Linked DNA regions of Schizosaccharomyces pombe. Changing the gene in region 3 together with the main gene of any one other region gives a genetic interaction. Each region holds a gene or a part of one and is shown on either strand. Other genes may lie near its edges.

The links.
Region 1: mutations in SPOM_SPAP27G11.11C (region 3) and ppk31 together harm fitness more than expected from each alone (negative genetic interaction), as found in Schizosaccharomyces pombe (one large-scale study listed by BioGRID).
Region 2: mutations in SPOM_SPAP27G11.11C (region 3) and pca1 together harm fitness more than expected from each alone (negative genetic interaction), as found in Schizosaccharomyces pombe (one large-scale study listed by BioGRID).

Annotation. Positions count from the first base shown.
Region 1 is NC_003423.3:1,210,924-1,220,297, forward strand, and holds ppk31 (serine/threonine protein kinase Ppk31), read right to left. Parts: upstream 4,999-9,374; coding exon 1,900-4,998; 3' UTR 1,767-1,899; downstream 1-1,766. Other genes in the region: npp1 (nucleotide pyrophosphatase), read right to left, coding at 1-1,429; peroxisomal targeting signal receptor Pex5, read left to right, coding at 6,096-7,892; pir2 (C2H2-type zinc finger domain-containing protein), read left to right, coding at 8,586-8,649, 8,702-8,809, 8,864-8,894, 8,966-9,374. UniProt on the Schizosaccharomyces pombe protein: Has a role in meiosis.
Region 2 is NC_003421.2:2,259,610-2,269,172, forward strand, and holds pca1 (metacaspase Pca1), read left to right. Parts: upstream 1-4,357; coding exon 4,358-4,811; exon of another isoform or gene 4,812-4,857; coding exon 4,858-4,917; exon of another isoform or gene 4,918-4,958; coding exon 4,959-5,056; exon of another isoform or gene 5,057-5,083; intron 5,084-5,102; coding exon 5,103-5,126; intron 5,127-5,166; coding exon 5,167-5,335; intron 5,336-5,374; coding exon 5,375-5,847; 3' UTR 5,848-6,048; coding exon of another isoform or gene 6,049-7,661; 3' UTR 7,662-7,696; downstream 7,697-9,563. Other genes in the region: karyopherin/importin beta family nuclear import signal receptor Sal3, read left to right, coding at 673-3,960; pgm2 (phosphoglucomutase), read right to left, coding at 6,049-7,661, 8,099-8,198, 8,261-8,311; F0-ATPase delta subunit atp5, read right to left, coding at 9,275-9,285, 9,361-9,563. UniProt on the Schizosaccharomyces pombe protein: Involved in cell death (apoptosis).
Region 3 is NC_003424.3:1,628,138-1,634,932, reverse strand, and holds SPOM_SPAP27G11.11C (uncharacterized protein), read left to right. Parts: upstream 1-3,729; coding exon 3,730-3,752; exon of another isoform or gene 3,753-3,804; intron 3,805-3,834; coding exon 3,835-4,033; downstream 4,034-6,795. Other genes in the region: SPOM_SPAP27G11.12 (uncharacterized protein), read right to left, coding at 191-2,488, 2,539-2,571, 2,724-2,766, 2,846-2,865; SPOM_SPAP27G11.16 (uncharacterized protein), read right to left, coding at 3,336-3,650.

The DNA.
Region 1 (9,374 bases), on a different chromosome or scaffold from region 3:
TGTCCTTCAGCAACCATTCCTTAGTAGAATTACGATTTCTTCTTAAAGGTAAAGCACCTTCATATGTACCATTATTAGGCTGAGCTGGTAAATCTAATATATGCGAAAGAATGCCATAAATTTCGGTGTTCTGGAACGGTGCAAGCTTCTTTCCCTTAAAATTCTTAAAAGAAGATCCTGAAGCGATAAAAAGTGCTCTCATCACTGGAGACAAATTGTCATAACCATGTACACCCAAAGGCTCATACTCCAACTCCGGTGAATGATCCAGCATCGAGACAAGAGACCATCCAACATCCGGGATCATCCAAACGGGAGCTATTCTTTCATTATTTGAGTAATGCCATCGAGAAGGTATATCTTTCTTTGAATAAACATTCCAATTCTCAGCAGAAGGTAATGACGAGCGAGAATAATTAACAAGACTTTCGTAAATGTACTCATCATCTAAATCAGATTCTCCTCTAAAACCTCCTAACGGCCAAGCATCTCTGTGTGCAACGGCAGACAAATTAAACATATTATCCAGCCAGATAAGACGATTATCGGATGTAGGCGCCATTCCATGATCACTTAAAAAAATAATGTTGACATGCTTATCGATATTTCTTTTCTTCAGTCCTTCAATTAGTTCACCAATTACGATATCAACTTCTTGAATTATGATATTCAGTTCAGGCGAATCCGGTCCAAATGCGTGCCCAACCATATCTACATGGGGAGCATAAGCAAGTAATAACTGAGGGCGGTCTTTATCAGGAAGATCCAGCCATTCGAGTATTCTATCTTTCTTTTCTCTTAGAGTCGTATCAAAATTGAAACCATCCGAATAAGTAGGTCTGTAACCATGATTCTCCACTTCATTTCCAGGCCACATATGTACCGCTGATCGAACGTTATTTCGCTCAGCGTTGACCCATATAGGCTCCCCTTTATCCCACCAAGTTGGGTCTTTGTTACATTCAGGCATACTGTTGACAAATTGCTTCCCAGTTACAGGATCAAAAAAGTTGTTACTAACGATTCCATGGCTCTCGGGATATAAACCGGTAACAATAGTATAGTGATTAGGGAAAGTTATACTAGGAAAAGAAGGAATCAAAAAGGGAACATGGACATTACGTTCAGCCAGGCTCAGAAGATTAGGTGTGAACCCACGATATAAGTAATCAGCACGGAATCCATCCAAGGAGATTACGATGACAGTGGACTGAAAAACATTGGTCCCATTGTTGAAGGAACCTCCAACGATAGGAAAAATAATTGCTTTGAAGCAAAATAATTTCACAATTGCCAATATCAGAATTCCTAAAATGCAAATAGCGGCAATTGCTAGTCCCGATCGTTTTGCCCATTGATTCAAATAAGCCTTTCGATCATTTTTCAAAGGCAAATACTCGTTGGACCCAATATTAGCCCAACTAAACATTTCGGCGAATGTTCAAAATCAATGATATAAAGGAGTATTGTTAGGTATATCATATAATCTGTCAAATAATACTTACTTGAATAACGATGCGAAAAATATTGTTAAAATCATTTAACGCTTTCAAAGATATGCGGTAAACACTTTGTTCTAACTTACTTCAATTCGTAAACTATTCAGTCCTCTTAAATGTTCTGTCGTATAGGAAATGTCATCCTTTGAAACGTTTAGTGAAATGAGATAGCTTTTTTTCATATATGAAATTCAACTATTAATAATATTTGGATTCAAGGAGGAAACATCAACTTATGTTAGAAGCATTATTTGGCTAAAGCCTCAGAATAAAAGATTTTGTAGAACAAGTTTATTTGTCTTTTTACTGTTTCTGTATGGAAATATTAATTAACCATTTTTCAACTTATCATGATTCGTTCTGGATAGCGAACATGTTATGTCTATGGTTTTACATGATGTTAAAATAAATGGTAGCGATACTTTTTGTTAGGTCGTTTCTGAATTCGAAATTTCTCTTTATTTCTTTGTTGATTTTTGGGGAAATCGACCTCATCATACATTCGCAAAAGCGTGGCTTTGTTGTTGTAATTAAGGGCCTTTAAGTCTATTCCCTTAAACGCTTTGGTTATTAGTGAAAAAAGATCTTTTCGTTTTTGGTCTGTTAAATTTGTGGTCTCCTCCTCGGACGCAGAGAAAGCAGCTGAGTTTGAGGTTTCAGTACCACTGTCAGCTGGTGTTGCTTTTGGAGGAGGATGAAAAGCAAAAATACCATTTAGAATTAAAGTTGCTGACGTCTGACAATTATTTTTATTAATATTATCCGAACCGCTTATGTTTTTTTCAAAGTACGTCAAATCTTCAACATTTTCTGTTTGTGGAACGAACGGACCTGGCCCACTATTTAAATTATCCCATTTAATGGTTCGAAAAAAAGGATGTTTTTTGATTTCCTGGTATCCATTGCTACCCAGCCGTTTGTTACAGTCTGGATCCATGAGTTTGGTGATTAAGTCTACCGCCTCCTTTGAGCAGCTTTCTTTCACTCTTTTAGTCCAACCAATATCATTTCTCTCTATGCGAGCCCATATTGCTTTTACAGTATTTGCTTCAAATGGTCGCGTGCCAGTCAACATTTCGAATATCACACAACCCATCGCCCATATATCGCCCATCTGAGTATCAACGCCCATTAAAATTTCTGGAGCCATATAATTTGGCGTCCCTGAAATATCTTTTTTGATGAATGTCCGGTTTTCCTTTTTCTCTAACTGATTCATTAACATGTGTATTGCTGTTTCATCCATGTTATTGATATCAAAGTCAAGTAAATGCTGGACCGAGTCATTGGCATAATCACTATTTTGCTGTGGACTCTCCGCTTTCTCAAGCTCATCAATATTCCCGCGGTAATTTCGAACATATCTTACAAATTCGAATTTTTTAGGTTGAAGCTGCTCATACAAATTTCCATGTTTCTGTTCAAATGACATCCTCTTAGTAAGCTTATAAACCTCTTTTTTTTCCTCTACGTTTTCACTCAGTCCGAAGTCTGTAAGCCGAATATGTCCTGTTTCGTCAACCAACATGTTGGCAGGCTTTATGTCGTGATGGATGATTCCATCCTGATGCAAAAGCTCGATAGCATTTAGTAATTCAGCTGCGTACTGGCAAACCCATTGCTCTGGTAACGGTCCTAATTTTTGAATAAGTGTTTCACAATCTCCTCCATTAAAATAATCCATTACAAGGCATAGGTAGTCCCCAGAATCAAATGCATAATATAATTTCACTGTGTTTGGTCCATATCTTTGGATATGCATGTTACGCTTTTCAAGCAATAGTCCTTTTATTTTTTTTAAGCTATCAAGACTGGATTTTGGAATCATTTTAAGAGCAAAATACTTTCCTGAAGATCTTTTTTTAGCAAGATAAACCCTACCGTATGCCCCTCTGTTTATTTCTTTTAAAAGTATGAACTCGTCTAATGAGTGAGGAGTATTATCCCCAAATCTCCTATCATTATGGCTTGGGAACTGCATACTTTCGGTAAGAAAATGAACGATCGAGGCATAGAATTTGTTAACAAATTTCTGCCGATTTTTTAGAGGTCTCACATCCAGATCTTCAATTGATCCCTTTACCGCTTTAAAATAATCTATCCTTGTTGTTTTAAAGGTTTTAGACACAATTAAGTCTTTTTCTGTTAAGCGTTCTCCAATCTCAAAGTATTTTTTATGTCTTTTTATGGTAGATATACGTTCTGTTCGTTTCTGGATGTCATCGTAAATTGAATTATTATTTTCAACGTTCCCAAGGGCTAACAGCCTGTTGAAAAACACTGGTCTCTGTTCGGAAAGGTATTGGTTTACGCAAATTAGATTGGACAATTGAGCATTTCCAAAGTACAGACTTCCTTCGATGTTTTCCATCTCAATTGATAGCATATTCAAGGAGTACGTTTGAAGAAAATTTTTAACTTCATTAAACGTTGCTTGATACATTAAAATGTGATTACAGAGTTTTATTTTAGACGATAAATTTTTCAAAAGAAGTGAATGAACATCGTAAAAATAATCCTGGATCTTTGAGGGAACAAGAAAATCATACTCCCAATTCACCAATGATTTTTCATAAATCTCTCGCTTCATGTCTTTCGCGGCAGAATTTGAAATTGTCAAAAACGTTCGATGTTCTAAATAAGCAAAATTTTTAATGGATTTGTCCAGTTCCTTAACCAAAAAGTTCAGAGAGCTTCTCCATGATCGAATGCGAAACCTCTGTTTTCTGTTTTTCTTCCCGTTGAATACTGTTATGACCGGCAAGGAAAGAAAGGTTTCTTCAACCATATGATTACTACCCGTAGGGAGTTTGTTAACTATGTCTTCTATTTCCAGCTTCTTACAATTTATCAATTGTTGTACGGCGAAAACGCGGCGTACGAGATCATTCCAAACAAGGCAAAAATCGCTATGTACCTCAAAGTACCACTCTGGTAAATTATCTTCACACAACGAACATAATTTTCCTGAAGGAGGAGGAACGTGTATATAATTGTATTTGATTATTCCGAGCAAATGATCATGAAGAATGAAGGCACCAATCCCTAACGTGTTAAACAGGATGAAATCCATTTCGTTGATCACGGACCGTTGTGGATATAAATATTTTCCTGCCCACAAAACCCTTGTATCTTTACCATACAATGAGTCTACTAGAATGCCTCGAAAAAGCATTCTAATATACGTCTTTCCCTCAAATGGAGCTTTGGCTTGTTGAATATAATAATTAGGACTGCGTATTGGATTACATCTGAGAAAAGCAAAGACATGTGCAACTGATATGCTTTTTCTGAAAAGATTATCGGTTGCTTTCTTCATTAAGTGTTCATCATCGCTTTGAAGATACTCATAGAAACTACATTGAAATAAATCTCCTTCGTAGCCGATTAATTCAAAAAATGCAGGATTGGCATATTCCACTATTCCATTTTTTGACATTTCAATTTTCAGCAGAACTTCGTGGGAAAGTATCCTCTTCAATTGCTCTGGATTAGTCATTGTTTATCATAATTGAACACTTTAAGCTTCTTGGTATAAAAGAAATTGTATTCAAAGTTGTGTAAAATCAATGCAAATGGTTCTTACGCGATAGTTTTTCGGCAAAGACTTTTAATAGTTTGTAAGACTCGTATAATTTAAATACCTTTTTTTACTTATGAAGCGGAATTGTTGTTGTATACAATGTTTTCGTTATTATAACATCATCAATTTATTACTTGGCTTTATTAAATTCGCCAACTAATATGCTAATTCATAATGAGATCACAATTTGAACGAGCGATTTTTAGCACTTTAATTAGCGACAGGTTCTTTAACAAATATTTGTCGGATGTGAACTGTAGGTGGCATCAATTGGTATTAAGCAGAAAACAACCAAAACCATTGTTACAGCGAATATTGACTAGCGAAAATTAATTAGTTTTTTAATACATTTTATTGTGAGCGACAGAAGTATTTGGTGATTTAATTCATTTGGCGTTGTAATTTAGACAACAGGTGAATAAATAGATGTAGAGTTAATACTTCAATCCAACCCTTGGTTTAACTTTCTAATCACACTAATTTGAAAAGAACTTAGAAATAATATGGATTTTTTTCTCTGTATCATAAAGCTATGGTTTTAACATATGCAGCATGGTTTACAAAAGTATAATAAAATGTTGAAATCTAAATTCCTTAGTGGCAATAGATTAGTCTGAAAAAATAAAGAGAAAGTCTTTATTATAAATTGATATGGGTTAATGTGGTGTATTACAGAAGCGATTAATCTAACGTGCTACGCTCAGCATCTACATGAACTGAGCGCACTCATCTAAATATTTTTGTAATTGGTAATAAGCAGCAATACATGCCTGAGTTTATACGCAAGTTTTGTAACAATCATTGGTGCGATCAATTTTTGTTTTTTGGTTAGTTGCATCGTTACTTCTTCCGCTTTTTTGTTTTCATATTTTTGGTTTTTAAAACACATCGCAAATTCAATCAAGTTGCGAAATTTTTCATTCTTTGATATTAATTTTCTTACAACCTACTTAAAAAACTATTTCCTTTTGGTCGAGAGCCTTTATATTGGCTATAGTCTACTTTCTTCAAAAATGTCTGTTGAAGCAGGATGTTCAACGCTATCTAATCCTCTTAAGAAATTGACTTCCACAGCTGTTGTCAATAATTCAACACCTTCAGCTCAATATCGAAAACATTTAACCAAGTCTCAAAGTCGTACTTACGCTCCTTTGCAAACGCTGTCTGAGGATCAATTCACATCTTTCAAAAATCTCCAAGGAAACAATAGTCCTTTAGGTAATGTAGTTAAGAACCCAGTTAGCTTAAAAACTGGAAATCATACCGGCACAACTACTCGTGGAGGCTCGAAAGAAAATTGGGTACATTCTTTTTCTTCTCTTCAGCAGCAGAATAGTAAGTCGGCTTGGACATCAGAATTCTCTGAAGTATTTCTCAATTCATCTGAAAACGACCGTTTTCGAAACTTAAACCAACCTTTAAAACAATCTTTTTTTGGTTCCGCTGGACTAAATTTATCTTCAAATACTGAAATACCCTTACAAAGTTCTTTAGCTATTGACGAAACTGAGTTGGCTAAGAAATTTGAGGAAGCTTCTCAAATCTCCAATAAATTAGAGAAGGAAAAGGATGCTACTGGAAGTAAATCAATTGAGGAGCTATGGGAAGAGCATCAAAAGCAATTGAAAAACGCCGGGCTAGAGCCCGCAAGTTTAGAGGAATACCAGAAACAATGGGAAGATTTTTTAAAGTCAAACAATATTTCTGACGATCCTTACACTTCGTCTGTGAATAGCTTTGCTAATGATAATTTAGCTCATAATAAAAACATAGATCCTCAAATTTTCCAGCATAGCGATACTGATAACGTTGTTGAAAACTCTTTACAAACGGAAGATGTATATTCACAGAACCAAGATGAATCTTCAGAGGTTGTGAAAGAGCTAAACGGAATAGATCCATTTGTTGAAGCCATGAATTTAATAAAAAATGGAGGATCTATCTCGAAAGCAGCTGTGTTATTGGAACAATCTGTGAAAGAGAATCCACAGCACTTCGAGGCCTGGAAATGGTTAGGTCGCATTCATACTCTATTGGGAAACGAATCGCGGGTTGTTGAAGCCCTACTTGAAGCTGTCAAATTGGATTCAACCAATCTTGACTTAATGATGGATCTTGCTGTGTCTTATGTTAATCAGTCTCTAAATGTTCAGGCATTGGTTTGCTTAGAAGACTGGATAGTCAACAGTTTTCCCCAATACCGAAACAGGTTTGCAAAGATAAACGAAAGGTTTGAAGAGAAAGATTCTGCTAACGATCTCTTGAAAATGCAGATGTATTTCTTGGATGTAGCTTATGAGTTATCACTTGCTAAGAAGCGTTCCTCCAAGGTACAAGCTGGATTAGGAATAATTATGTATATGTTGAAGGAGTATGAGCGTTCTGCAGATTGTTTTCGGCAAGCTCTTCAAGACGAACCAAGTAACGAAATATTGTGGAATAAGCTTGGTGCTGCTTTAACAAATGCAGAAAAAAATACTGAAGCTGTTTCTTCCTATAATCGGGCAGTATCTCTACAGCCCCAGTATGTTCGAGTTCGCTCAAACATGGCTGTTTCCAACATCAATTTAGGATACTTTGAAGATGCTGCAAAACATCTACTTGCTGCAATTGATATTATACAAAACAGTTCTACCTCAATGGAGAGCTGCGAATCAAATGAGGAACTTTGGGAAATGCTTCGCAAAGTATTTTTGATTGGATTCCAAAGTACTGATCTTGCCTCTCAGTCCTATCCTGGAGCAAACACTAGTTATATACGAGCCCAGTTAAGTGATCTCCAAGGTTGGCCCGGTGTTGAGCTCGAATAAATCTCTTAAAGCAAACGTGCTTAATTCATTTTTCATGTTATTATTTATTTGGTTGTTTTTTTTTTTAAATTTTTTGTCTGAGGCATATCTTTTAGAGGACGTGCAAAAGCTACTTTTTTTTTGTTGCACAAGAAATGAGATAACTTACGCTTCAATATCTGAAGCAGAGAACAAAAGTAAAAGAAATCTTACTCTATGCTACCAAAGTTACTATTGGTATGCAAGTTGTACCTTTCTTGACCGTTTATACAATGGAAATTAGATCTTCAGTGATTTGAAAACAGATGTTATTGTTTACTTTTGTGAGAGTGCTTCTAAGCTCTTTGTAAGCACAGTTTTTTAAGTAATCCAACATTGTATTTATTGACGATAATGAGACAATGTTTAGTATTAATTGTTCAATAGCATTCGCATAAAATTCGAAGTCTCACTTTTTTGTTTAATCATTTGCTTTTATAATCTCAGTTTATTTAGATATACTGATGCGTATAATAAAGTATTTGACAATTTTCTATATTTTGAATAATGAAACTTAGTGTACCAGCATAAAGTGCTGTATGGATATTTCTCTCTCGTAAGAACATTCTTCAACTAAGCAGGTTGAGTACCAATTTTGACCCAATTGAAATCATTAGTTTTTTAATAAATTAATCCCGATTGCTGGTATTTATAGAAGGGGAACAGTGTCAAAATATGAGTGAGGTCCATCAAGAAAGTGAAGTAGAGTACAGTCGTTGGAAAAGAGAACGCTCTCCTGGTAAGTTGTTAATGTTTAGTTTGATAGAAATACTCATCCTTTTTTTGCATAGAACGGAGTCAAAGACGTTCACAGAGCCCCCCTGGTGAACAGTCTGCGTATCATCGAGAACGGTCTCCTCTACGAAAGCGTGGTAATTACTATGATGATAGAACAAGAGGTAAGAATAAATATAAAATTCTATGAATTGACCTATTAACTACAATACGTCTAGCTTCTGGACCTTACCCTACATTTACTAAACCGTAAGTTACGACTAAATAAATACTCTACTCGATGTGAGTGAAAAACCAAAGTTTTCTAACAAGGAGACTAGTTTAATTGATCCATATACTCAAACAAATGCGGTTTCTTATGAACGGTTTATTCGGTGGTATAGCAAGGAAAACCATATATCCGCAACAACTGAAGACTTATACAACTCGCTTCATGGAACTTACAACAATTATAAACAGGATCTATACGCTAGGACCGCAAGAAGTTTTGTTGAGAGCCATTGTGACGAAGCTTGGTTTGAAGACAGCTATTGGGTGGACGAGTCACAAGGAAGAGTCCTTGAAGTGTCTGAAAATGAGAAATCTTATCGCCGGGCGTTATACGATAAATTCATGGACAGATTAGACGCCGGTTATTATGATGATTTTCAGCTTCCAACCGCTGAGGATGTAATCGAAAAGCCGTCAATACCTGATAATGATACAGATGACTCAATTCTTCCTTCTAAC
Region 2 (9,563 bases), on a different chromosome or scaffold from region 3:
CATGACACTTTGTTTTCTGTTCATCACACTCATCAATAATTCAATGGGAAAACGAAATGTGAACGGATTTTAAGTTGCTGGAATGGTAAAATGCGTTCATTCAATAATGTGGAATTAAAAAAAAAAGACAAGAAAATAAAAACTTACAAATTTAAAACATACTTCATAATCCAAACTATTCTATTTTTTTGTGATTTGAAAACGAAATCACAAATTTTCCTTATACGAATTTACAATCCTTGTAGAACACTATGTAAAGTTAACGTAGTTTACAAGAATAGTGTTTTTTTTTGGTAAAAATTATCACTGTTGCGATAAATTAAAAAAACGATGCGCAACATTACTTTAAAAATTTGATGCGATTCATGTAATACACTACACCACAAGTCGATACACTCCTTTCTCCATCTGCCCTTGGGGTTCCCTTAGTGTAGACAGTTGGCACTTCTACTTTGTATAGTATCGCTGGCTTAATTTAGGTATTATAAAAGATAAAACTTGCTTCACTCGTTAATACTAGAAGTTCGGCCTTTATTACCATTTTTTACAGCCCAAAACATTCTTGGTACCTCAGCCTCTGACCGAACGAGAAAGTTGTATTTAAGTTTATTTACCTTTTTCCTCTAAAACTGCAAAATCCACGTCTCTGATTGCTCATTTTTTTTTAATATCATGTCTAGTGGATTTCCTCCTGAAGTATTGTCTCCTCTTTTAAATTTAGTTCAAGGCCTTTCGTCGCCTGACAATACTGTCCGAAATGATGCTGAAAAGTCTCTTAGCTCAGACTGGATAAGTCAAAGAGCTGACTTATTATTAAACGGCCTTGCGATTTTAGCTTATCAAAGTGAGGACCCAGCTGTGCGCTCCTTTTGTTTAGTTCTTTGCCGTCGTATTTCCTTTCGCACCTTACCAGGAGACAGTGAGTTGGAAGTGTTCTCTAGCATTTCAAATGAGTCCAAACAGTCTTTGCAAAGTCAACTTCTAGCTTGCTTTGTTAAGGAGTCAGTTCCCACTGTTCGTAATAAGCTTTGTGACACAATCGCCGAGATTGCTCGATCTATCTATGATTGTCAAGGCGAATGGCCAGAACTCATTAACGTTATCTTCAATGCTGTTAACTCTCCTGATGAGTCTTTTCGTGAATCAGTTTTCCGTACCATCACTTCTTTACCTCGTTTATTGTCAGGTCAAGATAGTGCTGTTACTCCTCTCTTTACCACCGGTTTAGCTGATCCTAGTATCCGTGTAAGAATATCTGCCGCTCGTGCCTATTCTGCCGTTATTCTTGAGAGCAAACAATCCACTCGAGATCAGGTTATTCCTCTTTTACCTAGCCTCATGAACATCCTTCCCCCTCTGCAACAAGATCGTGATTCTGATAATTTGGCGGACTGTCTTATGGCCATCACTGAAATCGCCGAAGTTTTCCCAAAGTTATTCAAACCTATTTTTGAGAGCGTCATCGCATTTGGTCTTGGTATCATTAAGGACAAGGAGCTGGATAATTCCGCTCGCCAAGCTGCTCTTGAATTGCTTGTTTGTTTTTCGGAGGGTGCCCCTGCTATGTGTAGGAAATCTTCCGACTACACTGATCAACTTGTACTTCAATGTCTCTTGCTAATGACCGATGTCGCTGGCGATCCTGAGGATGAGGCAGAAGAACTTCAAGAATGGTTGAACACGGACGATTTGGATCAGGATGAAAGTGATGCTAACCATGTTGTCGCGGAACAAGCCATGGATAGACTTTCTAGAAAGTTGGGCGGAAAAACAATTCTTCCTCCCTCTTTCACGTGGCTTCCTAGATTGATCCCGTCTCAAAAATGGTCTGAACGTCATGCTGCCCTTATGGCCATCTCATCAATTGCCGAAGGTGCTGAAAAATTAATGAAAAAAGAGCTTAGTCGTGTATTAGATATGGTACTTCCTTTGTTAGCTGACCCTCACCCCCGTGTTCGATGGGCTGCATGCAATGCTGTAGGCCAAATGTCTACAGATTTTGCTCCTGACATGCAAGTCAAGTATCCTTCTCGCATCCTCGAGGCATTGGTACCTGTTTTGGAGTCTCCAGAATCCCGTGTTCAAGCTCATGCTGCTGCTGCAATGGTTAATTTCTCTGAAGAGGCCGACAACAAGGTTCTCGAACCTTACTTGGATGATATCCTTCAACGCCTTCTTACCTTGTTACAAAGCCCTAAGCGATATGTGCAGGAACAAGCCGTTACCACTATAGCTACAGTTGCTGACGCTGCAGCTAAAAAATTTGAAAAATATTTTGATGCCATCATGCCGTTATTGTTTAATGTTCTGCAACAAGCTGACGGCAAGGAGTTTAGAACCCTTCGCGGTAAAACTATGGAATGTGCTACTTTAATTGCCTTAGCTGTTGGTAAACAACGATTCCTTCCTGTATCTCAGGAATTAATCCAAATTTTAGGTAACATTCAAATGGGTATTACTGACAGTGATGATCCTCAAGCTAGTTATCTCATCTCTGCCTGGGGAAGAATTTGCCGTGTTTTAGGAAGCGATTTTGTCCCATTTTTGAGTTCAGTTATGCCTCCTCTGTTGGTTGCTGCTACCTCGAAACCTGACTTCACAATTATAGACGACGAGGTTGATGAAAGCAAATATTCTGAACAAGATGGTTGGGAGTTCATTCCCGTTCATGGTCAACAGGTTGGTATTAGGACTAGTACGTTAGAAGACAAGTGTACTGCCACCGAAATGCTTGTCTGCTATGCTGCTGAGTTAAAAGCTGACTTTGATCCTTACGTCAATGAAGTTTTGACATCTGTTGTACTTCCAGGATTGAAGTTCTTCTTTCACGACGGGGTTCGTTCTGCTTGTTGTAAGTGTATTCCTCAGTTATTGAACGCTCGGATTTTAGCTAGCAATCGTGATCCAGCTAAAGTCAATGAGCTTTGGGAGCCTATTTTACGAAAGCTGTTGGATCATATACAAAATGAACCAAGCGTGGAAATGCTTGCCGACTATTTTGAATGTTTCTATCAAAGTTTGGAAATCAGCGGCTTGAATCTGAGTCCTTCTTCGATGGAAGCACTCGTTGCTGCCGTTGATTTGCAGCTCAAAGGATTCATTTCTCGCGTGCAGCAGCGTGAGGAGGAGGCTAAAAATGGTGACATAGATATTGAAGAAGATGAGGACATGATTCTTGCAGTCGAAAATGATCAAAACTTGTTAAACGAAATAAACAAGACTTTTAGTGTTGTATTAAAAATTCACAAAACTGCTTTCTGCCCTTTTTGGGAAAGGCTACTACCGTACATGGATGGCTTTTTGTCTGGAAACGACACTGTAGCTAAGCAATGGGCTCTATGCATGATGGATGACTTAATTGAATTTACTGGACCCGATTCTTGGAACTACAAGGATCACTTTTTGCCTTACTTAGCTGAAGGTATTCAAAGTAGCGAACCAGAAATTCGACAAGCTGCCTCGTACGGTATTGGAGTAGCCGCTCAGCATGGAGGAGAGTTGTATGCTGAAATCTGCTCTAGTGCTTTGCCCGCATTGTTTAAGATGCTCGAGCTTCCTGATGCCCGTGATGAAGAACAAATTTATGCCACAGAAAATATTTGTGTTGCGATATGCAAAATTTGCCGCTTTTGTAGCCAACGTGTTCAGGATCTTGACAAAGTTGTAACGTATTGGATTAATACACTTCCTGTAACACATGATGAAGATGACGCTCCTTATGCTTACACTTTCCTTGCGGAATTGATGGAACAAAATCACGTGGCCGTTGCCTCACAAATGCCAACGATTATTACGATTTTAGCAGAAACATTTGCATCTGGAGTTTTACGTGGAAGAACTTTGACACGTTTGATGGAAGCTTCGAAGGTTTACTTAGCTCGTTTCCCTGCTGATCAAGTTAATTCTGTCATTGCCACTTTGAGTGTCGATAATCAGAGAGCTTTGTCTGCACATTTTTAAATTTCATTTCTTTCACTCTAAGTCTTTCAATATTTTCTTTGGTTCCTCAAAATGCTTTAGTTAGTTTAGGTTAGGTTAGGTTTTTATTTAATCCATCAACAATCTTCGGATTTTGTTTCACTCTTTTTAGACTATGCCGGCTAGGTTTTCACTTATTGCTTTATACATTACTTGATTTTTCATCGTATTAAATTATTTCTTCGTGTAGCAGCTCTTTCGTGTATAATACGTTTTGATGTGTGGTATGATTATAATATATTGCTCGCATCTTTTGCAATTAATTTTTTTTTTAAATGTATATACTGTAGTCAAATTGATTTTGCTTTAGTTATAACCTGTGAGATCTGGTATTTTATTGAAAGTAGCATAGTTAAGCACTATCCAACTTCCCATCAACATGAGCTACAACTCCAATCCTTATAACGGTGGGCAATATCCACCATATAATACATATACTAGACCTAATTATTCACCAAATAATGGTTCTCAAAGTAATAACACTGTACATCAATATCAGCCTCCACGTATGCCACCCCCTTCCACAAGGCCTCAGACAGACGGCAATTCTAATCAAATCCCTATGGAGAATGTTGGTCATATAAGTTTGAGCTCTGCAAACTCCCATGCTTATGCCCCACCCTCAGGTCCGCCTCCGAATACTGGTGCTAATTCTTATGGCAACCCAAATTATAGTGGGCCTCAGCTGCCAAACACTCAGACTCAATCTTATAACTTAGCAGGAGGAGGAAACTTTCAGTATCAGTATTCAACTTGCCAAGGGAAGCGAAAGGCTTTGCTGATCGGAATTAACTATCTCAATACCCAAAATGAGTTGCAAGGTTGCATTAATGGTACGGAATGCGAAAGGTCAAGTAAACATATATTAACTTGTTTAAGATGTCATGTCTATGTCCCAACTGCTGATACAGCGCTACGGTTACAAGCAAGAAGATATGGGTATGGTTGATTACGAGAACATCTTGCTAAAACTTTTTTAGTTATTATGACAGACACGGCAAGCAACCAAAGGGCAATTCCCACTCGTCAAAATATGTTAGATGCGATGAGATGGTTAGTAAGTGATGCCCAACCTAATGTAAGTTATATGTCATGGGATTTACTTCCTAATGCTAACTATTTAGGATGCATTATTTTTTCACTATAGTGTAAGAATCATCACTTTACATCTCATACTCACATGCATAGGGCCACGGAGGGCAAACAAAAGACCTTGATGGAGACGAAGTTGATGGTTATGATGAAACGATATATCCACTGGACCATCAATATGCCGGGCAAATTATAGATGATGAAATGCACGAAATAATGGTTAAGCCTTTACCAGCAGGATGTCGTTTAACAGCTCTCTTTGACTGTAAGTCAGTGATTTTAATCTATTTTTAACAAAATATAGCTTGTCATTCAGGTGGAGCTCTCGATCTTCCTTTCACGTACTCTACCAAGGGCGTTCTAAAGGAGCCAAATATGTTAAAAGAATCTGGTATGGATGTACTTCATGCTGGCCTTTCTTATGCCTCTGGCGACATTATGGGAGCTATCAACAACGTGAAAAATATATTTACCAGTGCTACCAATGGATTTAATAACAACGCTCTACAGTACTCTAGACAAGTTAAGTTTTCTCCTGCTGATGTTATTTCTTTATCCGGATGCAAAGATAATCAAACAAGCGCAGATACAAGTGTTAATGGATTCGCTACTGGTGCTTTATCATACGCCTTCCGTGAAGTCGTCACTCAAAATCCCCAACTTAGCTACTTGCAGTTGCTGAGAGGTATTCGACAAGTACTTTCCAACAAATACTCACAACTGCCCCAATTAAGTTGTAGTCATCCTTTAGACATGAATCTTGCCATGGTTTTATAGTACACTAAACATTACTTGATCATTGAAGTTCTATATTTTTGTAGTTCCATCAGATATTTAAGGAATTTTCAATTAAGGATAAAATTTAAATCACAACAACTCAGGAAATCATATCTAATACTTTATTGAAATATTTTTGTTTGCAATTTATAATTTTGCTTAAAAAACGAGCTCAAATTAAAATTATACACGCGAGAAAACTCATGGCTCTTCCAGTCCGTTCTGTTGGGGATGAAACCATTCAGATTTGATAGCCTGTTTAACTTCTGTAGCATTCTTTATGGAATCTTCAAGCGAATGTCCGCGAGCACAGATATAAAACTTAAGTTTCGGCTCTGTACCACTTGTGCGAATAGTCATAATTACCTCTCCATTTTCAAGCTCAAACGTTACGTTATCTGAACTTTTTGAAACTGGTAAAGTAGCTTTACCATCCGTGGAGCTTGAGTCGTAACCTGTAGTAAGGTCGCGAACATTTGTAATTTTCTTACTACCAAGGGTTGCCGGATAACCCGATTTTGTGTCATAATGTCTCAAGGCATCAACCAAAGCACGAAGCTTGGGAGTGTCGCGTGAAAGGAAATATGAGTTTTGCGTAGTGTAATAACCATATTTTTTAGACATTTGCTCAAAAACCTCGGTAATTGAAAGATTCTGAAGTTGAAGGCGTTTCAAAAGATGAAGGAACGTAATCAAAGCATTAACCCCGTCTTTGTCTCTAACTATACTACCTACCATATAACCAAGAGCTTCTTCATATGCCAATCCAATAAATTTCCCTTGTTTTTCCAATTCTAATGCTTTATTGCCTAACCACTTAAATCCAGTAAGTGTTTCAACATGATGGAATCCTTCTACTTTGGCCATGGACTTTACCATAGCACTAGAGACAGTAGTTGACAAAACGTAAAAATCATCAATTGGCTTTCCAACGTTTTTGTATTCTTGAAATATAAAATAGGCAAGGATACAACCAACTTCATCTCCGGTAAATCTTCTCCAAGCACCATTAATTTTTTCTGCAAAGGCGAAACGATCTGCGTCAGGATCAGTTGCAAGGACATACGAAATACCATTAGCATCAGCTTGCTCGTAAGCCAAATCCAATGCCCCCTCCTCTTCTGGATTTGGAAATTTCACAGTCGGAAAGTCAGGGTTTGGAGAATCTTGAAGAGGTACAGAAATCATATCGCCTTGTTCGCCAAATAAGTGTAATGCTGAAGTAACAAATGGTAATCCAACGCCATGAATAGGAGTGTAAACAAATTTCAAAGATTTCATTTCCAAGGAAAAGTTGTTTTCGGAATGGAATTCGTGGAGCTGAGACCAATAGTTTTTTAAAAGACCAACTGCAAAATCCCGATCTGCTAGTTTATGATTTTCAACCAAATTTTTGTCCCAAGTAATGGGCGTTAAGTTTTTTTCTATACATGCAGCAATTCCCTTGTCATGGGGAGGAATGATAGCACAACCGTTTCCCCAATAGACCTTGTATCCGTTATAAGCTGCGGGATTATGGGAAGCAGTAATCATAACACCAGCTGCAGTCCCTAGGGTTTTAACGGCAAAAGGGACTAAAGGGGTATGGACAAGATGATCGAAGAAATACGTTTTGAATCCTTTTTGCAAGAACACTGCAGCAGTAAGTCGAGCAAAAGTATTAGACTTATGCCTATGATCGTGTCCAATTACCACACCCAGCTTTGCAGCTGATGGTACGGTTTGAAGCAAATACTCAGCGAAGCCTTGTGAGGCTTGAATCACGGTCAAACAGTTCATGCGAGCGAAGCCAGCACCAATTTCAGCTCTCAAACCTTTGTAAACATTAGTAAATGAATAAACGAACTTGATAATGTTAAAACATTAAGATGTATAGAGAGAACAATCGCAAGCTGAAAATCTAATTACACTTAAACCAATTTCGTACAAGCACGTTATATAACATTCCAAGCAAAAAAGACCAAAACAGATAGAAAAGAAGAAGAAGAACGAAAAACTCTTTCTGAAATATGACCAATATGATCATCACAATAAATTAGTATACGCAGTAAGGAAAGTGACCGATGATCAAGTATATCACTTCGACTCTAATCAAGGAAAACACAATAAAGTAGTTTAAGCTACCGGCTGTAGCACTGAGAATTCTTTATTAAGAAAGAGGCATTATTTAGCGTTCTCTTTCAATCCACTTCAACTTGCGAAATATCTCTTAACAATCTCAATTTTTTCTTCTTTTGTAATAAAAACATACCAGATGTACCAAATCCAATCCTTGGATGCATAATTTGCTTGAGGGTGGCATAATCTTCAGCCTTAATCAATTGTGAAACTTCATTCCTCGTAGTTTCATCCTAATGCGTTCAATCTGTTAGTTCCACAGTACTTCCATAGTAAATATAGTCCTAATACTTACTTGATCTAATTTGAACCACTCATCTACTAATTCTTGCAAAATCGGATCCATCTTGCCAAATGGGAATTGTTACCATTTGTTTGCTACACACACAATACACGTATCTCATCACCTCGTTTAACGCGTCCTTACGCCGTGGTATTTCGTATCCGTTTTCTTACAAAAATGATTTTAATAAAATAGACTCAAAAACAAAAAGTAGTAATAATATTATACTCATGACCTCCAATTATTCTAGAGAATTTCTTAAAACATTAGCTGCAAAAAGAAGCCTAGTAATTTGAAAGCAGCAGTTAATTACGATATATACCGCTTACAAAAAGGAGAAATTGGAAGAATTCAAGACCTGACGTCAATTCGCAAGCTGAATCGTTTTAATTAATAGGCGTCGGACAATGGGATTCACTTAGGCTTGGCGACGTTCTTGTCTAAAAATTGCTTGTCGGAATGTGTCATTGAACCGAAAAGGTTTGAAGCTCTTGACTAATAAACAACAGTAACTGATGTTAACTTTTTATAGAATATCCCAGGTTTCAATTCAACACGTTTATTCATAAATCTCAATCTATGTTATGCAGATGAGATTGAAAATCAATACCATCAAGTACAACTTCTCTAAACTGAACGGGTTAAGTATGGAATGGTTTAAAGTTTTAAGTACTGGATCACTCCAAGCTTTGAGATACGATAAGAAAATTAGTGTTAGTACATTTGTGGCTTTAATCACACCTTTTCCATAACCAGGAACTAAGTTTTCAAAGATCTACTATTCGATGATGAAAAAATAGCATTCATAAAGTTGATAACAGCATACATAAATGAAACTGAAATATTGAGGAGGTAAGGCAAACATGATGACCATAGTTTCAATTGACTATGTAATACGTACTATGGCTCATTAAAACCTATCAAAGAAAGAGAAATACGAATAAGAGGAAATTCAAGCCTGTTTAGAATGAGAAGAGAATAAAGATTGGGTTTTGGCGAAGGATACGCTGTTGCATTAAAACAGCCTTAAATAGGTTCTATAAATGGTTAGCATGTAAAAAAAATTAAAATTGAATCATGAAAAAATATTAAAAAATAATAAAAAAACCTACCACTTAAGAGCTTGTTCAAATTGTTGAGACGAGAACCAACACTGACATCAAGAATATTATCACCAATTTCAACAATTAGTCCACCGATGATAGAAGGAGTAACTTTATTGCTAACCAGTAATTTACCCTTGCCATATTTCGATTTAGCTATCCGAGATTCGAGACGAGAAAGGATCTTCGAATCTAGAGGAGTAGCTGAAGTA
Region 3 (6,795 bases):
AACGAAACAACATTTTTTTAACCAATTTGTGAAAAGAAATAATAAAAAAATAAAACAGATGTAAAAAGCCAAGTATCTATTCAAACAGACTCTTTGAACATACAAAACTTAGGATAGTTCAAATTTCTCCATTTCAATTCTTAAAACGGAGATATGCCGCTCAAGCATAATCCTCAAGGAGATTTCAAGTCTAAAATGAGTCAAATATTTTGACATCCGTACCTTCAAAGATGCCTGGCCCTTCTCTTTTATGACTGTCTAAATCGCATGAGACTTGCCAGGCGAATAGACGAGCAAAATTTGCCAATTGTTGTCTCCATTCCTTTGTTCTATATTTCGGAATGTATGGTTGATTAGTTGCTGGGTATTTTTGAGTTTTTATCATAGCCATGATTTCTGAAGCTGGATGACCGGCTTTCTTCATATCACTGATTTTGAGAGATAGGTCAGTGAAAATATCGAGCATAGTTCGGAAGTTCAGCGAAGGCCACCATTTATTCCACCATTCTACAGTCGGCTTAAAAGTGTAATCTACTGAATGAGCAATTGGCTCTACCTTCGCTTCGTCGGTATCTTCTAACGAACGGTCATTGCCATGGAGTGTGGCACTTTCTGTAAGAGCTCTATGTAATTGAGGACGTTGCTTCAACAATGGTTGGACAGGCCTACTATCCCTGTGAGTACGTAAAGAATTGGAGCGAAGTGCTTTATCGAATCCATCAGTAATTTCATCTTTGCTAGTAACGTCTTTGAGGTTAGTGAAACCAAATTCACTACTTTCTATAGGATAATATGGCGTTGGACTTTTTGACCTAACATATCGAAGTCGGCTTAACAATATGGAGTCAAACGCTTTTGAAGAAAATGTTTTACCATTGCGAGTCCAGTATGCAGAATCTCCTTCCGCGGATGAGTTTCTAACACTCATAATGGCATCAAACGATAAAGCGCTGACCGCTTCAATGTAATCTTTGTGCATTGAAAAGAAGTATAAGAGTGGTGCATTGTATTTTTGGGCATATTGAATTGCATTGTTGATAGCTCCTATAACATACTTTAAAATTTTGTGATTGACGTCGTTAGAAATTAAAAAGCCTGGATAGGAAGCAGATTGAAACAATTCAAACAAACTCTGGCTGGAATGTGAGTTTAAATTTTGCGCGTATAAACAAAGGTAGCAAAGCGAGCAGCAAAGCATTTGAGCAATCTCGGAATGATAATCTTTAGTATATTGCACTAGTAATGAAATTGCAATAATGGTAAAATCTGCGTAAGTACCACCTTCGAAAGGAACTGGCATGCTAATTGGTAAGGCGGTCTGCTGTTGAAATGGCTTGTTTAAGCGCTTACAAAAATATTTTTCAGCGGTCAAGCGCTTTAACAGAATTACACAAAGCTTTAAGTGGTTATAAGTCGAAGGATCTCCGAGATATTCAAAACTTAAATATAACAAAAATATAAACAAATCGATTGCTCGATCGGTATCAATAAGATAATGAAAAAACCTCTCGTTATAATGAATAAAAAGTTTGCAAAAAATTAATACAAGAGGGTAGTAGTCAAACATAATCAATGAGCTTCTTTTTGGAATGGTAGATTGCATAGGGGGATATAACAGTCTGCTCATTCCATCAAGGATGATTTGGAAATCTGAATAAGGTTGAAGTTTTGAAAGCAGAATGCTAAAATAGTTTTTTGGTAATGTGTTTTTTGAAGAACGGTAATTATTATAACAAGGAGTGCCGTTGTTGTTTTCTTCCGACATTAGTATGAGTAGGACAGAAAAACAATACTCTATCAAAGACATGTGAGCTACCGAGTTGTCAAGGGGAAGAAACTCAGGCTTCCAAAACATCGTATTGAAACGCATTGCTGTATTGATGAGAGAAGAAAGAAGACAAAGGACTAAGCGCCTGTTAGCTATTGAAGCAACATAAGCACAACAACTGCTTCCATTGCCATCTGTTCGATATATTTCCTCGGAAAATAATGAAAGTAAGAGTCGGAGGACTTCGACACGGTGAAGTTCGTACGAGCGCTCTTTCAACATTGTGGGATGATAAACTACCCCAGTTTCCCAAATACAGTAGTGAACTCCATGGGTAAGATCATTATGAGCAGGGATGGTAAAATTGATTAGGAACAGATAATCTACAACGGTGTTTAAAAAGCTTGCTCCTCGGGGTGTATTGATGTTCGGATCCTTTGGAACTGTCCACGCAAAATAGTCAAACCATTCTAACATTGACTTATCCTCAAATATAATTGGCATAAGCCTTGTCAAAAGTCGCATACAATTTAACGCGCATTTTGTAGTGGGAGCGGCGGGGTCATCAAACAATGTTTCTTTTTGTAGATCTTCTAATTTGTCCCAGAGTACAGCAATAATAGTTTGCAAATTTTCTGGAGCGTTGTCTTTAACTTTTGTCAAATCATCGATAGACATCAAATGAAACACGTCTTCGGTTGTTTCTGGAAGCGTCCAAAGCTAAAGATTATTAGTTAGCAAAAATATTCACGAATAAAGATCACACTTACACGCTCCCATATAAGGTCAAATTTTGGAATGTTCTGAATTGGTTAGTACACTTGAAATTTTCAATTATTTATGATTATATTCAAATTGAATTCACATTCATTAGCAGAGAATCCTAAGAATTGAACTTCGTATTCTCTGGCATTCACTGAATTATGAAACCAACCAAAAGAAAAATATTACCTACCCTTTCTTCGTGTAGTCGTAAAACCGCGTTCCTAAAGTCTAACCTGTAATTTGGTTAATAATGTATTGGTTCTTCCCCAAACCTACGGCAGGTTGAGAAATTGGACAAAAAAATAAACATACTTAGACTGTTGAGAACCCATCGAATGTGAAGGTGAAAAGTATGCATACAATCAAAGTGACACAGAGAGTGAACTGAAAAAAAAAACGATGAAAAATCTATGATTGCGAAATTTGTAAAGAGGGGAAAATGGTTGAGAGAGGGAGGAAACCAGGAAACAAGGTGATTATCTTATAGCCCAACGAAAACAATCGTCGGTTTCAGCGAAAAAAAGTACGAAAATACTCTTGTGAAGGATTTGGCTGAAGCAAAAAAGTTCTTCAAATTCAGTTTGCAAAGCACTTTTTGATAAAACTCAAATGACTTATGGAAGAGAGAAATACTAGTTAAGTACTTTTGAATAACGTTCCAGCACTAGTTTTCCCCCTCTTTAGTTTTTATAAACTAAACTTTCAAGCAAAGATGCAGCATAGGAAAACTGTAGATATCCGACCTTGAATTTTGTGAGACTCGTAGGTAGAAAAGAGAAGCCTATTGTGTCGCCCAGCGGGCTTAAAGACTAGGAGACTCAGAGGATTTAAAATTAAAGGATAGAAAAGATATTGAAAATGTAGTACTCCAAATCTTTTCAAATTCGCACTTTGAAGCCGCGATGATAAAATCTCGCAAAATTCTTAACGTGGTCGAAAATGACGAAAAAGCGAATGAGAATAAACGAACTGCAATTAAAATCCTATTCGATTTTAATTTTTCAATACTATAACAAGGATTACACTCAAAAAACACACTGCTACTACGTTCAGTAAAATTGGTGTTGTTTTCATGTAAGATTGCACCTTGCTTAAAAAACCGAAGGCATGACCCCATGTAAGGACTTGCCCCAGGTAACGTAATATCGACTGAATGCTACACCAAATTTTAAGACGGTAAGAAGCATTATGAAAATATGACATGCAATCATGAAAACCCGTATATAACTCACCACGGCAAAGTGCATCTTATAACTTCATAGAATTCACAGTCAATGAAATTTCTCTAATTTTTCCTTTAGCCATTTTTTGTTTAAAATTGATTCATATTCCAAGACATTTTTGCTCAGCTGTTATTGTGTTTCCATTTACAGGCTCGAAGAATGCTCGGGAAGGTTTAAACCATCTTCGTATTCATTACATCTTTTGAAATCACTATCAATCATTATCTGTGAAAATCCTAGTCAAACCTTCAATATTGGATTAAATCAACCGAAATGATTTTTACTCCCATTAAAATATCCAATACATTCGAGACAAACATGGTGAAAATAAATCGCTCATCTAATTAATTGAGTATCGCTTAATGTATCAAGTTGCAACACCGATCAATTGTTATTTTCTTAGTTCATGTTGGCAAGGCGGAACTTCTCTGTTGATCGATTTACATTCCGACTTTCCGTACGTGCGTGTTGTGCTGCTATTACGGTAGTAACAACGAGACTCGGAGCGATCGCTAGTAGTACTAACAGTAATTTTTGAACAAATCAGATATGAAGCAAAAGCGGCGGTAATTTCACTGAAGGAGCCAGGTGTTCTTGAGTCCGTGACTCAGATTACAGATATAGTCTTAAGTTTATTAATTTGAGGTTTATCATCTTCCAATGGTGAACGCCCACATCCTTTCCTTCTTTTGTCCTGAGCCAGCTTAAGCTTAAATTAAGCTGTAAGTGAATTTTCCGTTGGCAAAAGTTACATACATCAATTTCAGCCACAGTGAATTTATAATTTTTCCATTCGTTGTAAGTCGACTTGTCTATAATTCGGAATCGACTTTTTATCTACGTCTACTATCTTTATTTACTGTTCATTTATAATTACGACGAGCATCAAATGAATCCAAACCGTCAAGACGGCGAATAAGAAAAGAAACCTACTGTTCAAATTGTTTCCTCTACAGTAATATGCATGTGGAAAAAATGAACAGAAACATGAAATAATATTTATTTACTTGACAACAGTTTGAGATTACGATAACCCATGGTGTGTTGTTCTTTTTATGATTCGTAACTCTTTGTTATAACGAGCATTGTCTTATACTCTCAGGAGTGTGCTATTCATCTGAACGAGCCGATCTAAGTGCTTGTTCTAATAGCATTTTTATTTGTCTTACACTATGCTACGTTATTGCAAATTCAAGCTCTGCAAAGTGCGCATGCACGAACTGTACCGTAGGAGAACCAATCTGTATAGGTTCACAGGGTTGTTTCGGCATCTTTACTAATAAATCCTTGAAATCAACCGTTAGTTGGTGCTTCTAGCTAACCAAAAAGTCTTCCATGGGTGATTATTTACTGTAAGTCTTTGTTTATAGTGTCTTTGTTGTATCACTTTTTGTGTAGTTTTTAATTAACACTTTTTGTGCAGCTCTTGGTCTTGGATCTTAGATGCTTTTGAAACGTCTGATGAGAATTTATCACAAAATAAGTTTGAAGAGCTACTGGATGCTCGTATAGCTGCCTTTCAGCAAATCGAGAGTCCCGTAACAGGAACTCTCAACTCAAATAAAACCACAGAAGGCGAAGAAGCGAAGCTCTCTATTTATGATAGTAGTCATTCCATCTCGAAATCACAATTAGAAAGTGTAAAAAAGATATCAGACATTACGGGTTATAATGAGGCACAAGTCGCTTATGTACTTCTGGTGCATCAATATGAATTAAATACCCAATACTTCTCACAATTAGACAATGATTCTGTTCTTGCCCAAGAATTTCAAAGAAGATACTATGCTGAAATTATATCTTGCTGGAAAGTTTTAGCTTTCCTCTTACAAGCTTGTACCGATGCAGACAGCAAGTGGCATAAAATGGCTACCCGATTGATCGTATCGATTTTTCAAACAGCTCAGCGATCTGGAGAAAATGCACAAAGCACTACTCCTTCTATTTTCTGCGTCCGTATCATCGACTATTTAAGCAAGATGACTAGTCAAGCGGCGCCCGCTTCCTTAACATTTAATGGCGAAGAAGCTATCTCTCAATGGTATTTTTTTCATTTTAACTTACAGCTTCAACTTTTGCGGGTCATCTTTTTGTCGACTTATTCTCTAGTGGTTTGCAATTCAGAAATGGCTATATCCTGGTTCAATTGTATGAAAAAAACTAGGTATTTGCATGATCAGGAGTTTATGCATTTGGATATTGACACAGGGTTTTCTATGTGCAAAGAGATAACAAATGTTGCCATAATTATTTCCATCAACTTTATTTCATTAGAGAAACAGGTGCTTTCTTTTAAAGACAATCCTTCGTTCTTTATGCTCTCTGGCAATACCATAATTTCACTACACGATATGATTACTCAACTATCGAACGATTCAATTGGTGCCGCTGTATCATTGACATGGGGCATAGCTCTTCATCTTCTGAGCAACAGCCCAGATAACATACCTTTAATACAAAATTCGAGCGTTGTTTCTTCAAAGATTCTTCAAAATCCCCAAAATTCTTTTCAAGCATTAATTATTGCGGCCTTAAAATATGATCCATTCACTTTAATCCATAGGATCATTTCAAGTTTAGAGGACGATCCTTACATTGATGGTTACTCAAAAATAATGGCTACCCTTTTTTCTAGTGCAGTATCCTATGTTAAGTTTTCAGATTCAACAATGCTTTGCGCTACTACTCTCTTTAAGACACCTCAGGTTTACCAACTTTTTGAAAATAATGACAGTGTAACTCGTTTACTCAATTTTGCTCGGGCGAGATTTCCGTTCGAGTATTCTCAATTTGTGCTCTTGCTGATTCCCACCTTTGCATGCCTTACCAGTAAACAATTGGTATCTTCAGAGCTCTTGCACATGACGACTTTTACTCAATCTCTTCCCAGTGGATTCAAGGCTTACGAAATCATTCCAGAACCAAATGTTACTGGAAATGCTCTTATAGAACTTCAAGAAAGTTTGCATCTTGATTCGTATGGGTTCTTTTTTCCTAATGCTGAACGAAGCTTACCCAAAGGAACACGAGGGAGAATTG